3 linked regions of the Canis lupus familiaris genome follow. The protein of the gene in region 1 interacts with the protein of each later gene in a biochemical or structural test. Links are inferred from orthologs where the notes say so. Each region holds a gene or a part of one and is shown in the gene's direction. Other genes may lie near its edges. The genes, in order: MAP3K1, MAPK8 and MAP2K4.

Region 1 (4,787 bases):
AAGCTCTACTCGCCAGAAGAAAAAGGTCGAAAGTCATTAACATGTAAATGGTGCTTTTCCCATTCCAAGGCACCTTAGCGCCGAGACTGCCCCGGGGACTGGACGGGCTCCGAAAGCCACGTTAGGCAACTCGGGGGCGGGGGCGGGGGCGGGGGCGGGGGCGGGGGGAACCCGGCCGGTGGCCAGACCCTGCCGGGAAGAGGGACGTGCCGCCAGGGGCACTGGGTTCGGGGAGGGCCGAAACCTGGCCGAGGGTGACATTGTCGAGCACTTTCCGGCACAGCCTAGGTTCCTTCCCCCTAACGCGCTCCGTTGGTCCTGTACACCGTAGCCTTTCCCAAAAAAAGAGCGCAGGAAAAAATAAAGATGTACAAAGACTGCCGCTCCTCCTCGCGTGTCTCCAGCGGAGGCGGAGGAGGAGGTGAGAAGGGTGTCCCCCATCGCTGACTCCAGGTTGTAAACAAGATATCCCAGGAAACTCTGTGAAGTTTTATTTGTATATGTTGGGAGAGAGGAGGACAAAAAGGGAGAAAAGCTTTAAAAGAAAAACACACACATTTTTTATTTATTTTTTTGGTTTGCAGCTGCACGTCTGCTGAACACTGGGTTTCTTTCGCTTTGCACCAGGCAACGACCCTGGACGCCACCTGCGCGCCCCGCGCGGAGTCGGGGGTGGAGGGACGGTCCTCGCCCGGGTTCCCCGACGCCCCCTGCAAAGGGCGGTGAGAATGACAGGCCGTACGCCCTCTCGCCGGCACCCGCCCGACGCACCAACACACCGAATTTCGAAACGCAACCTCCCGACCGGCCGGGCCGAGATTGCGGCCGAGAGGAAGCGGCGCACGGCCGCCGCGGAGGCTCCTCCTCTCGCCGGTGCAGCCCGGGAGCACCTGGCGGCCGGGCGAGGGCGGCACGCAAAGCCCAGGGCGCCTTTGCGGCGGCTGCGTCCCCGCCCGCCTCGCCCGGCCGCGCGGGCGCCGGGCCCACTCGCTCCACCTGCTCGGCGCCGGCCCCGCTCCTCCCCCGCGGCCGGGCCCCGTGCGCCCGCCCGGCCGTCCGGGCCCAGCGCCCGGCGGGCCCCGCTCACGCAGTTGGCGCAGGCTGCCCTACGCCAGCGGCGCAGCGCCCGCCGGCCCGCCCTCCCCCTGCGCTCTCCCCGCCCCCTCCCTCCCTCGCAGGGGCCGAGCGAATGTAGCCCGCGAGAGAAAATGGCGGCGGCGGCGGGGAATCGCGCCTCGTCGTCGGGATTCCCGGGCGCCGGGGCGGCGAGCCCCGAGGCGGGCGGCGGCGGAGCGGCTCTCAAGGCGAGCAGCGCGCCCGCGGCAGCCGCGGGGCTGCTGCGGGAGGGGGGCAGCGGGGGCCGCGAGCGGGCTGACTGGCGGCGGCGGCAGCTGCGCAAAGTGCGGAGCGTGGAGCTGGACCAGCTGCCGGAGCCGCCGCTCTTCCTCGCCGCCTCGCCGCCGTCCTCCTCCCCTTCCCCGTCGCCGGAGCCCTCGGACGCCGCGGCGGGCGGGAGCGCCTTCCAGCCTCTGGCGGCGCCGCAGCCGCACGGAGCCGCGAGCCGTGGCGGCGCCCGCCCTCCGGAGCCCGCGGCCGCCCCGGACAGCGGCGCCCCGAGCCCCGCGGGGGCCGAGCCCGGGGAGAAGCGGACGCCCGCCGCCGAGCCGCCTCCTGCAGCGGCCCCCGCCGGGTGAGCAGCGCGGCCGGGGGCGCGGCGGGGCCCCGCGGGGCGGGCGGGCGAGGCAATGAATGAAGCCCGGGCCCCGCGCCGCCCGTCGGGATCCGAGCCCTCGGGGACCCCCTCCGACCCCCTCCGGCGGCGGGCGGCGGCGGGCGGCGGCGGGCGGCGGCCGGGGCTCGGCCCGGGGGGCGGCCCGGGGACCCGGGGCGGGGACGCGCCGGAGAGTTTGTTATTGTGTGCGGACATGTGACAGGCGTGCGGGCCGCGCCGCGGGGACCCGTAGAGATGAGGTGAGGGGCCCGGGGCCCGGGGCGCGGGACTCCCCGAGGTGACCCGGCTCGGGACCGCGGCGCTGCGCTCGGGGCTGGGCTGGGGGGCGGGCAGCAGCTCGGCGGCGGCCCTGGACGAGAGTCCCGGGATCGCGGGGGCTGAGGCCCGAGCCTGCAGGCTGGCGGTGGCCCGGAAAGGGGCGGGGTGGGTGCGGAGCCCAGCCCGGGGCCGGGGGCCGGGGGCCGGGAGGCGGGGGGGCGGCGGGGGACGCGGTGAGGTCCTCCCGACCTTGACAGGCGGAGCTCCTCGGCAGGTACCGGGCCGGCGGGGACCCGGACGCCGGCAGCCGGGCCGCGCGGGGCTCGGGGCTGCAGGCTCCGTCCGCCTGTCAAAGCGGTGCGGGCGGGCGGGCGGGCGGGCTGCGGACTCGGGGGCTCGGAATATCCGAGGACTTGGGTCTCCCCTCTGCGCCCTCGAGGGGCTCCGCCTGTTCTTGGGAATGCGCACAGCGCCACTGAGATTTGAGTGACTTCGGTTTGGAGTTTGAATCTGGCCTTTGAAGTGTGCGTTCGGCGAGCGGTGCGAGAGCCGGACCGGATGCGTCAGCCATTCAGTCGCCCCGCGGCGGTGCCCGCTCCCCGCAGCCTGTGCGGCGCGGCCGGGGTCCGCGGCCCGGGTGCGGGGCGTCCTGCGGGCTGCGGCTGCGCGGGCTCCCCGCCGGCGGCCCCCGGGCCCCGCTAGTGCGGCGGCGCCTGTGCCTCACGGTACGTGCGACCCAGAGGACCCGCCGTTCCAGGCCTGACCCTTTCTGTACAACTGAAAAAAAAAAAAAAAAATCTTTATTTTAAAGAAAATTCTTAAGTGTGACAGCCGTAATCCTTTTTTTTTTTTTTTTTTTTTTTTTTTTTAAAGGAAATCTGGGGAGTGTTTGCACAGCATAGTCCTGATGAGTATTTCGAGTTGCTGGAAATGTTTTTGTGATACTTAACCGTTGCCCCGTGGAGTCTCCTGACCTTTATTCTGGGTATTTTAAACACTATGCCTTATATCTGTTTCCCTTGTGAGACGAATTTGGCGATACGAATCCTTGGTTTGGGTTAATTATCTGAAGTGCTTTAGCACTTTGTTGAGCTCGATTTCTTTATTTATTTAAAACCGCAGTTCATTTATTACCAGGAAGTTGCACCCCCCCCCCCCCAAAAAAGAAACCCTAAAAATTATGGTCAACGCTGGGGCGTGGCAATCTTGAGAGGAAAGGAGATTTGTGGCTGTGATAGTTTACTGTGTGCACTTGTAAATATAACTTAGTCTAACAAGAGTTAGGTTTCTCTATACTTTCCTACTTCTGTGAAGATTGAATTAAAACCTCACTAGAATAATTCTTTGAAGGCAACTTATAGTACAAATGAGCTCCAGATAAAAATATTAGGCATTAAATTTTAAAAGTTAATTGCGTCTGTTCTCGTGAGAGCAACTTTAGAGCATAATGTTAGAGCATAACATTGCATCTGTTCTCGTGAGGGCAACCACACACCATAAGAGGACTAAGGTGGAGGCAGATCGAATTCAGGACGGAGTAACCCACGCTTAGTTTTTGCATTTTATAACACAGGTTTTTTTTACCCCTCTTTGTAAAGGAGCTATTTGTTTAATGAGGTAATCAGCATTATCATTTTTAAAAAATGAATTTCATTAGCCAGTATGCTAATGTCATACCTACAGACTTCATTTATAGTAAAATGTTGATTCTCTAATCTTGAAAATACAGTGATTTCTCCTTCCATTCCTTGTCTGTGGGATTGAAATTAATTTGCACCTATTTGTATGAATACTTTGATTATAAAGAGTTCAGTAAACTTTACATTTTACTTTTTTGACAGTTTTTTTTTAATATTTTATCTATTTATTCATGAGAAACAGAGAGAGAGAGAGAGAGAGAGAGAGGCAGAGACACAGACAGAGGGAGAAGCAGGCTCCATGCAGGGAGCCCGATGTGGGACTCGATCCTGGGACTCCAGGATCACACCCTAGGCTGAAGGCGGCGCTAAACCGCTGAGCCACCTGGGCTGTCCTTGACAGTAGTTTCTTTTGTACTTCCTAGAGGAAAATAAAGCACTGATATTTTGAAGTATTTTTATGTTTCAGTAGTAGTATAGATCTGGAGCTCCCTTCTGCCTAAAGACTTACCGTACTTTTTAAAGAGAATTCTATTTTAATTTCAGAATTTACTTCAGTTTTTTTTTATCTTTGATGTAGAAACTGAAAATGTAGAAAATACATTTGCAGAGTATAAATTATGTAAGTTATACTCATATTAAAAGATTTTATGTCCCCCTCTCCTTTAGGGTAATAATTGAAATCAATGAAAGTTTTGTGCCTGTAAGTGGCGCCCAAGGGTTTGGAATTTTAACTTCTATTACAGAATTAGGAACTTTTTCTTCCTATTTATTGTCTTTGAAGAAAAATTACAGTGTTACTCTCCATTGAACAGACTGTTGTGAGTTTGGTAGATATAATTACTCTATCCTATTTTTGTGACTTAAAAAAAACCCTAACTATCAATTTGCTGGCCCCATGAAAGAACAAGATATGCTGTGCTTGTTAATGTTAGTTTTTGCTTAAAACTAAAGCTATTTCATAGGCTGTTTTTATATCCTCATATAGCCTTCAGCTTTCACTTCCTTTTAGAAGCTGCTAGGTTAAAAATATAATTTAGTGATTTTTTACTAGAGTAGATATAGGAACTTTATTACCCAAAAATAAGTTATAAAAAGTTAAATTGATGATTTTTATAAAACAGTAGAAGTAGTTACATAAAATTAACTTAAGTGAATTT
Region 2 (3,855 bases), on another chromosome or scaffold:
AACATGAATCATCTTTAACATATTTCCCATCCCTCAGTGACATTCCCTCCTATGTCCTAACCCAACTCCCTTCAAAGGATTTCTCTATTGGTTATTTATTCCTGCTACTTTCTAAAAAAAATCCAGATGGGATGCCTGGGTGACTCAGCAGTTGAGCGTCTGCCTTTGGCTCAGGGCGTGATCCCAGGTCCAGGGATCAAGTCCCACTTTGGGCTCCCTGCAAGGAGCCTGCTTCTCTACCTATGTCTCTGCCTCTCTCTCTCTCTCTCTCTCTCTCTCTCTCTCTCTCTGTCTCCCTCTCATGAATAAATAAATAAATCATAAATAAATAGGTAAGTATATGTATGTATGTATATATATTATATCGATACATATCCAGGAAATGCTTGTTAGCTATAGCTAACTTACTTCCAGTAAAGGAAATAATCTTCTTGTACTTTTATGTTTTATGTTTTAAAATCTTTTTTAAAAAAGATGTGCCAGGATATTGTTTGGAGTTTACAGTGAAAAGATAAGTAATTTTTATTAGGGCAGTAGTCTTTTAACCTTTTGGGCCATATATCCCTTTGAGATCCTCTCTCCAACAAAATGCAGTACAGACAGTTTTGCATGTTTTATCAGTATTATTCATACACAATCTAATGAGCCTTTTCAAAGCCAAGAGAAAAAAATTATTGATCACTAGAGGTAGCCAATACAGTATAGGCAGCTCGGCATGCAACTCTGTCTGCAACTGATTTGCTGTTTTGTTTCTCATAGCACAGGTGCAGCAGTGATCAATGGCTCTCAGCATCCATCGTCGTCATCATCTGTCAATGATGTGTCTTCAATGTCAACAGATCCAACTTTGGCCTCAGATACAGACAGCAGTTTAGAAGCATCAGCTGGACCTCTGGGCTGCTGTAGATGACTACTTGGGCCTTTGGGGGGTGGGGGGATGGGGAGTCATTTAGTCATTGATAGAACTACTTTGAAAACAATTCAGTGGTCTTATTTTTGAGTGATTTTTCAAAAATGTAGAATTCATTTTGTAGTAAAGTAGTTTATTTTTTTTAATTTCAAGTGATGTAATTTAAAACTTAAGTTGTGTTTTAAAACAGCAACAAAACTGTATTGTATTTTTGCTGTAATTAACTGTATAATGTAAACCTAATTATTTTATCATGGTTTAAAATTTTTGCATATTTGCTTTATCTTATGCTGCTGATTTTTTTTTTTTTTACTGAATTTCTAAGATTTTGTTTAAGCAACTATTATGTGGTGACTTGCCTATATCATGAATTATTTAAGATTTTATAGTTTTTTTAATTAGAATTTTATTTTAAATGTTTTGTTCATGATGCTATCCTTCAGGGTTATGTGCTTATCAATGAAATAACCCCAGAGGAGTGAGGGAAAATAACCTGTAGCCAGTTGTATTCAGGAATAACTACTGTAAATGATGAACGTGTTAAAAAACCTCCAATATTTGCTACTTGCCAATCCTAATTTAATTATAACAGTTGGTAGGCATCCTACAATTGTTCTTTGGCGAAAGTCCCATCATCTAAATGGCAGAATAACTTAGAGCATGTCTTTGAAGATGATGGGCGTCTACCCCCACCCTCCTATTCCCCAACCCCACACAACAAAAGTAAAGTAAAAAGAATATGGTATTTTTACAAATTTGTGGCATGCTCAAAGCTTATGATTACATAAAGTCAAGAGGATACTTCATGAATAATACATTTCAATGCAAATAAACAGATGGTTCACTTCTACTAGCTATGAGCCTGTTTTTGTACACAGAGTTAATCTACTCAGGCTGTAGGTCCCAGCAGTGGTCTAGAGTCTGGTCTTTCCCTTTCCTGCAGCCTCAGGCCCTTGGACCTTTCTGGTTTCCTATCACAGTGTCAGTCAGGGGAGCACCAGTTCTCAAGGTGTTTCTGGCCATTTGATTCTAACTGTAGCATAATCATATTTATACTAGCTGTTGGGAGGTTCCAAAGCCTACTTCAATTTCTGTAGGTGATGTATCAAATGAGCAATATACCGTTCATCTGAAAATAGTAGCACACAGCCATATATAGGATATCATTTTCTAAGGACTGTTTCTTCACATTGAGCAGAGCAGGCATAAGTAGTGGTTATTTAGTCTGAGTCTTTGTTTTTTTATACCTAATTTTCAATAAAACATGCAATGTGGATGTTGAGTAGTGTAAGAATGGTGCTGCTCCTATCAAGTGTATGTTAACTGTTTACATTTTATACCTGCAGAATTCTTTCTCCACAACAAATTTTTCTTAAGTAAATGCCATTGAGGTCTCTATCTCTGAAATACATTCTCTGTATTGCCCCCAGACATTTTTTGTTATTTTTGGAACAAGAAGGATTTCATGTAATGAAGTGGGAAATGCATATGTAAGTAAGTGACAAGATTCTAGGCAGAAAGTCCATGGGAATTAATGACCAACAGGAGCAAGAACTGGTACATCTCAATATGCAGTGTCTGAGAGTTCGCTTGGCATGTTCTTCATATATTTAGTGCAAAATGCCTTTTGAGTTAGGTATTTTAGGTTATTGTTAATGTGCAATATTTAGGATTAAAATACATTAGCCTTTTTGTATGCTTTGAAATAGCAAGTTTGTTTTTGATGGTTTCCAGTTGTGAGTTCTAGCCTCTTGAAGTTATCAACCTTTTTATCAATCCCTCTTCTACTCATACAACATGGTGTGTTAATTTTATTAATAAGCAAATTAGAGTTTTGAGAATGTTACACCTCGAGTTATAGAAACAATTGGATTTGCAATTTTAGTGGAAATTTGAGCATGAGTGTGTTCTTAGTTTATATTAGTTCGGCAGTTAATCAGCTTTATTTTCCCTAGGATAGATTATTTCACTGTTGCACTTTAACAACTGACATGCTTTCAGAGGTTTCTCATATTTTATGTTTGATTGCCAGTAAGCCATCTCTATTGATACAGATTAAGCAAGGAAAACCAGGTGTTCTTACTGTATCACTTGTTGTAAATGCCAGCTCCCCCTTGCCAGCCAGCATGTTTCAGTTGATCCAGAGAAAAGGAATTCTTATTAGTCAATGCAGACTAAAATTCTTAACAAATTCTATCCTGAAAACAGTCTGTTAAATGTTAGGTGCCCTAGGTTTTTAAAATACAATATCTAAATACAACTTTCCCTCATTACATAAATCTATTAAGCTAAAGATGTACTGGTTCTTTTTATTTTATAAACCTTTTGAACCTTTAAAACATCTTAAACATTGGTGTGGGGTTTTTTTTTTTTTTAAGAAATTGCAAATAAGATTTCTATTAAGCAGTACTTATGTAAAGCCACCTTCTCATAACTTTGGTTTTTCAACTTTATATATTTAATATACTCATCATCTTACTGTCAGAAAATCATTTTGATTAAGATTTATTATTAACTGTATTATTTTATTATTCAGCTTTATAGGAAAGAGACAGTAATTCTTTCTACATAGTTCTTCCTGGTTACTACTCTGTTACTTTCTAATCATTTGTAAAATGATTGTGGTGTTGGGATTGCTTAATTATATATATAAATAGAGCATCTCAACTCTTTCATACTGTTTGCTGAACAGTTCTCGTTTTGTCACACACCCTTGGCTGCTGATTATTCCTGGTGTGTACTCTTCCAGGTTGGCACAGTGCTTCACACCAGACTAAGAGAAATGCCAGCCTCTTAAATGAGGAGGCTCCCATATAGCCCCCTTTGTAGTATAGAGAAACTTGATGGTATGCAAAGCAGCAAACTTTCCCATAAGCCCTTGCGTTATTCTGTTCCATGTTAATCCTGTTTTGTCTAAAAAGATGAAGGTGAAGAGGACATCAGCT
Region 3 (4,787 bases), on another chromosome or scaffold:
ATTGATTAGGACCTGGTATCTTTGAAGGCCACCATTTTCACTTATATCTCACTTACAGTACATATCTGTCCCGTGTACCAAGTACGTACATTCACCCTGCTCCAGTGTTCCCCCAGAGCCATAGCTCATTATAGCATCAGCTTGAATCCAGGTCTGATCTAGACACCATCAGTTCTGCTCATCAAAATCATCCAAGTCGGGTATGAGTGAGACAGAGTATGATCCATTGTGACATAAAATTCCTCTCCCTCTGTACTGGAAACAAGACCGGGTTACTTGGTTCCAAAACACAGGGGTCAGGCATTGGAAACCAGTTCTAGAGATACCCATTCAAAACAGGAGAACAATGAAGGAAGAAAGGAGGCAGCAGTTCCAAGGAGTTTCCAAATCCAGCAGGGCAGTTTCCTTTCAGTTGCAGGGCCTGGGGACGGTCTTCTGCTGTTCAATATTTCCTTTTATTTTGTTGTTGTTGTTGCTTGCTCTTCCTTTTTTTTTTTAAATTTTATTTTTTATTGGTGTTCAATTTGCCAACATACAGAATAACACCCAGTGCTCATCCCGTCTATTGGGGGTGAATGGGTGACAGGTGCTGAGGGGGGCACTTTCAATATTTCCTGAAGACAAATTTCTAAGAAGTGAAAGAGCATCTTCATGAAAAGTTTTTTCTTGTATATTGCTGAACCTTCAATCAGAAAAAATTATGCTATTTCCTTTTTTACCAGCAACATTTTGTACTAGTGATTTTTTTTTACCTGGTCACATTATCATTGGAAAAAAATTGTTGTATGTATAAAATGAGACCTAAGTTTTGCCAATTTTGCGTGAACAAAACTTTTTAAAAAAGATTTTATGGATTTATTTGAGAGAGAGAGAACGGGTGCCTGGGAGGGGGGTTGGGAAAGGGCAGAGGCAGAGAGAGAGAATCCCAAACAGACTCCCCACTTGGGAGCGGAGCTTGATGTGGGACTCAATCCCAGGACCCCTAGGATCATGACCTGAGGCGAAGGCAGACGCTTAGACTGAACCACCCAGGAGGCCCCTCACATGAACAAAACTTTAAACTGTTTTGTTGTTAGTGAATGCCTTTCATAATTTTTTCTCAGTTTTGCTTTACTGTTCATACCCTTGCCAATTTTTCTATTTTTCTTGATTTGTGTGATGTCTTTATATATTTAAAGTTCTTCTCATTTTGTATTGGAAGGATTTTCCCCAGCTTTCACTTAAAATTTGTTTTTTTAGATTTTGTTTTTTGGTAATATACAGTTTGCTTTTTAATACAGCCAAATTTGCTACGAAAGTTTGCTTTTTTGTAGAGCCAAATTTGCTGTTTAAGAAGAGTACCTTTTGCATGTATAGGTTGAATGCCCTTCCTCTACTTGCTGCCAAATAAAACTTAGTTTAAAATAAATATTTGGTACCTGAATTGGGCGGGTTACATGGAAAATTCATGTTGTAATATTCTTACTTCTGAAAATGATGTGTCTGGTCTTCTTGGGAATTCTCATTATCCTGTAGACAGGCCCATCCCTGAGAGCCGATCCGGGAGTCACAGCCAGGAGCTTTCTGCTCTTATCCTACAGTCCTGTCCAACTGGTATGTTTGGCACACTCAAACTTGCAAATCTCATTGAAAGCACCAGGCTGAGCAGAATGAGTCCCTTCATACATATTCCAAATCCACTGGGATGGGAAAGTATTTGGATTGCAGAGGTGTTGTTGGAGAAGGTAGAATTAGGCATAATAAACTGTGAAGAGTGTATTCTGGAAAAAGATATACTACAGTGCTTAAAAACCCAATTCTGTTACAAAGTCTCTATTCAGTAAAATCCCAAAGAAATGTTTTTATAAGATTTATAGACATAGAAGAAACATGGTCAGTGAGTAAAGCATGTTAAAAAACATATTGTGGTCTGATTTGAATTGTAGAGAAAAAAATGTGTATGCATAGAAAGTAGTTTCTAGGAGACAATGATTATTTGGGGATAATTGGACTTAGAAATGTAAAAAAAAAAGTATATACAATATTTTGTATATTTATATTGTCTTTTATCTTTTCTGAATTTTCTGGCTTTTCTATACCGGGCAAGTTTTGTTTGTATAATATAAAACACTGTTACCTTCCCTCCCTACTCCCTATCCCAAAGAAATGGCTCCAAATAAATGATTATTTGAAATACCTGTGTTATGAACTTGGTTGGCAGTGCCGTGACTTTTTTTTTTTTTTTTTTTTTTTTAGTTATGATTGCAGACTGCTTCAGATTCTTTACTCAGTTGTTAATATTGTATTTTAGGGAAAATTATTTTTATTAAATAAAGATGTTGAAGTGTAACCCTGGAAAGGTGGTAATATTTTAGTATTTTTCAGTGTATCTGCCAAAGTGAATGATTTTTATAGTGGTGTTTTCTTTTGCAAAAGTGTTAGCATCTCTGAACGATATAAACCTGAACCATTGTTTTCTATTGATTTGGAAGATAATGGGTGATTTGTGGTTAATAATAACTTTAGATCCTTTTTATTTACTTTATCTTAAAGCTGAGAAATTCTTTGTTGCCTTTCAAAATATGATATTAACTATATGTTAAAACAAATTTTTTCTGCTTTTTGGTGTGAATTTCTTATGCCCTCAGATTAGTGTCTGTTTTATAGTACTTGAAACTTTTACTTTTTATTTGTTATTTCTTAGGTAAACGCAAAGCACTGAAGTTGAATTTTGCAAATCCACCTTTCAAATCTACAGCAAGGTTTACTCTGAATCCCAACCCTACAGGAGTTCAAAACCCACACATGTGAGTATTCCTGGTAATCAACTAAAAGGCTCAACTCAAGCAGAAGTTTTAAAGTTATTGTATTTTATGAATTTTTCCAAGTCAAGGAATTGGTATTTCCATTGTCTTATGGGCCGTTTGACACTTGGTCTTAGCCAAAAGGCTGAGAAGAGATCTTTTATGGGCCTTTTGAAATAATTACTACTTGAACTTAATTAGAAAGCTATTGATTCTGTGGTCTGAAGTAGGTGAACACAATTTTCTTTGTTAAAGTTTACTTGAAGGGGAAAAGAGCTGAAGATCCAGCTCAATTTTTTCAATTTTTCTCTTGCTGAACTCTGAGAATATTGTTTAGACCTGTCCTTCTGGATCTCCAGTTAAATTGTAAGTGGTAATTAGGAAACATTACTCTCCTCTGTAGATCTGCACAAATCATCCCCACTTACCAGGTGATAAAGTAGAGTGTCATTTACCCTTTCTGGATAAATGACATTCCTGTAAGATTTCCATGTCACAGTAAATTGAGAGTACATGTACATGTTGGTGTATAGGTGTCAGTGATTACTTTTAAAATGTATTTTATATATATATATATATATATTTATTTATGTGTGTGTGTATTTTCCCTAAATATTTTTTATTAAAATACAAAAATGATATTTTAGCATCTTGCTGAAGGTCAAAGTGTTAGAAACATCTGTTACTTTAAAATAATACCTTCAGAATGATATTTGTAGATCTCTTGAACTGCAGTGATGTATTAAATAATGATGCCTCCCCACTACCCCCCAAAACCTATCATGAACACAAACAAGTCAAAGCCAGTGGGTTTGCATTTATACTCATGTTCATAAAGATAATTTTTACCTACTTCTGGTATCAAGAACAATAAAGCAAATGGTGGAAGGTGTTTTAAAAAAATGGTCAGAATATATCATCTTGTAGTTTTTAATAATTATAACAAAATAATTTTTATTCAAGCCTAATTAGACTACAAATATATTCATGCTTCCCCCCAAAGGCACACTTCTTGCTGTTTCCTTTCCTCATGATGTCTGACATGCATTGTATTTACAAACAGTAACAAATTTGTAGAAGGCAGTGTGTCTCACAATAGGAATGCTGAAAATATATTGTGATTTTTAAAACATCGATGTGTAGAAGGGAGCAATGTGGAGGTGTGTGTGTATGTGATTAGGCTTTCGCCTGTAACTTGAAAGCAATAAAAAACTGAAGTAACAGTTCACTTGCCTGGGAATAGTGTTTGCTAATTTTATTAGACTGGTGTTCATAATGAGATTTGTTGTCAGACATCAGCTTAGAGTCTAGCTTTTTTACCTCCTCTGAAACATCAAGTGGGGGCTATACTGAGGAAGGAAACTCTTTTTTTTTTTTTTTTTTTTTTTTTAGGAAGGAAACTCTTAGTACCTCTTAATTAGTCAAAGCTCTGGTGGCAAGGAAACATTCTTAAAAGAACCTCCTTCCTCATTTCCTAGAATTTCTAGTGAAAGCTAGTACAAAACTAATTCTTGAACATGGTCCATGTCTATTACCTTGGTTGCTAGCTGAACCACATATAAAGGATATGTAGTTATTGCCAAACTTAGTAGCTCGCTCTTCTTTCTCTTTTCTCCTTCCTTCCTTCCTTCCTTCCTTCCTTCCTTCCTTCCTTCCTTCCTTCCTTCCTTCCTTCCTTCCTTCCTTCCTTCCTTCCTTCCTTCCTTCTCTTTCTTTTTTTAAAAGTCCCCTTGGACACAAGGACAACCTGAACTGCAAAAACATTTATATCATTTGTACCCTCTTCCTTTGAGAGTATCATGTATTAGGGAATTCATGGACAAATCTTTTTTTCTTTTTCCTGAACAGTAAACTGGGTTAAAAAAAAACTTTTTTTCCAAAATTTGAGTTGATCTTTTTTTTTTTTTTTTATTCTACCACTTCATAATATTCCTATAACCAGCTAGGTTTCCTATCCTTTGTCAATTCCCAGCAGATGTTAAAAGTTTGAGAGGACATGGTAAT

The links.
Region 2: of the proteins of MAP3K1 (region 1) and MAPK8, one has a biochemical effect on the other in vitro, tested with the Homo sapiens proteins (3 studies listed by BioGRID, with this or other methods). The link is inferred for Canis lupus familiaris from reciprocal best matches to the Homo sapiens genes MAP3K1 and MAPK8.
Region 3: of the proteins of MAP3K1 (region 1) and MAP2K4, one has a biochemical effect on the other in vitro, tested with the Homo sapiens proteins (7 studies listed by BioGRID and IntAct, with this or other methods). The link is inferred for Canis lupus familiaris from reciprocal best matches to the Homo sapiens genes MAP3K1 and MAP2K4.

Annotation. Positions count from the first base shown.
Region 1 is NC_049223.1:43,099,134-43,103,920, forward strand, and holds the start of MAP3K1 (mitogen-activated protein kinase kinase kinase 1), read left to right. Parts: upstream 1-1,208; coding exon 1,209-1,690; intron 1,691-4,787. UniProt on the Homo sapiens protein: Component of a protein kinase signal transduction cascade. Activates the ERK and JNK kinase pathways by phosphorylation of MAP2K1 and MAP2K4. May phosphorylate the MAPK8/JNK1 kinase.
Region 2 is NC_049249.1:547,307-551,161, forward strand, and holds part of MAPK8 (mitogen-activated protein kinase 8), read left to right. Parts: intron 1-759; coding exon of another isoform or gene 760-764; coding exon 765-910; 3' UTR 911-3,855. UniProt on the Homo sapiens protein: Serine/threonine-protein kinase involved in various processes such as cell proliferation, differentiation, migration, transformation and programmed cell death.
Region 3 is NC_049226.1:36,354,315-36,359,101, forward strand, and holds the start of MAP2K4 (dual specificity mitogen-activated protein kinase kinase 4), read left to right. Parts: upstream 1-1,421; 5' UTR 1,422-1,436; coding exon 1,437-1,593; intron 1,594-2,683; coding exon 2,684-2,786; intron 2,787-4,787. UniProt on the Homo sapiens protein: Dual specificity protein kinase which acts as an essential component of the MAP kinase signal transduction pathway. Essential component of the stress-activated protein kinase/c-Jun N-terminal kinase (SAP/JNK) signaling pathway.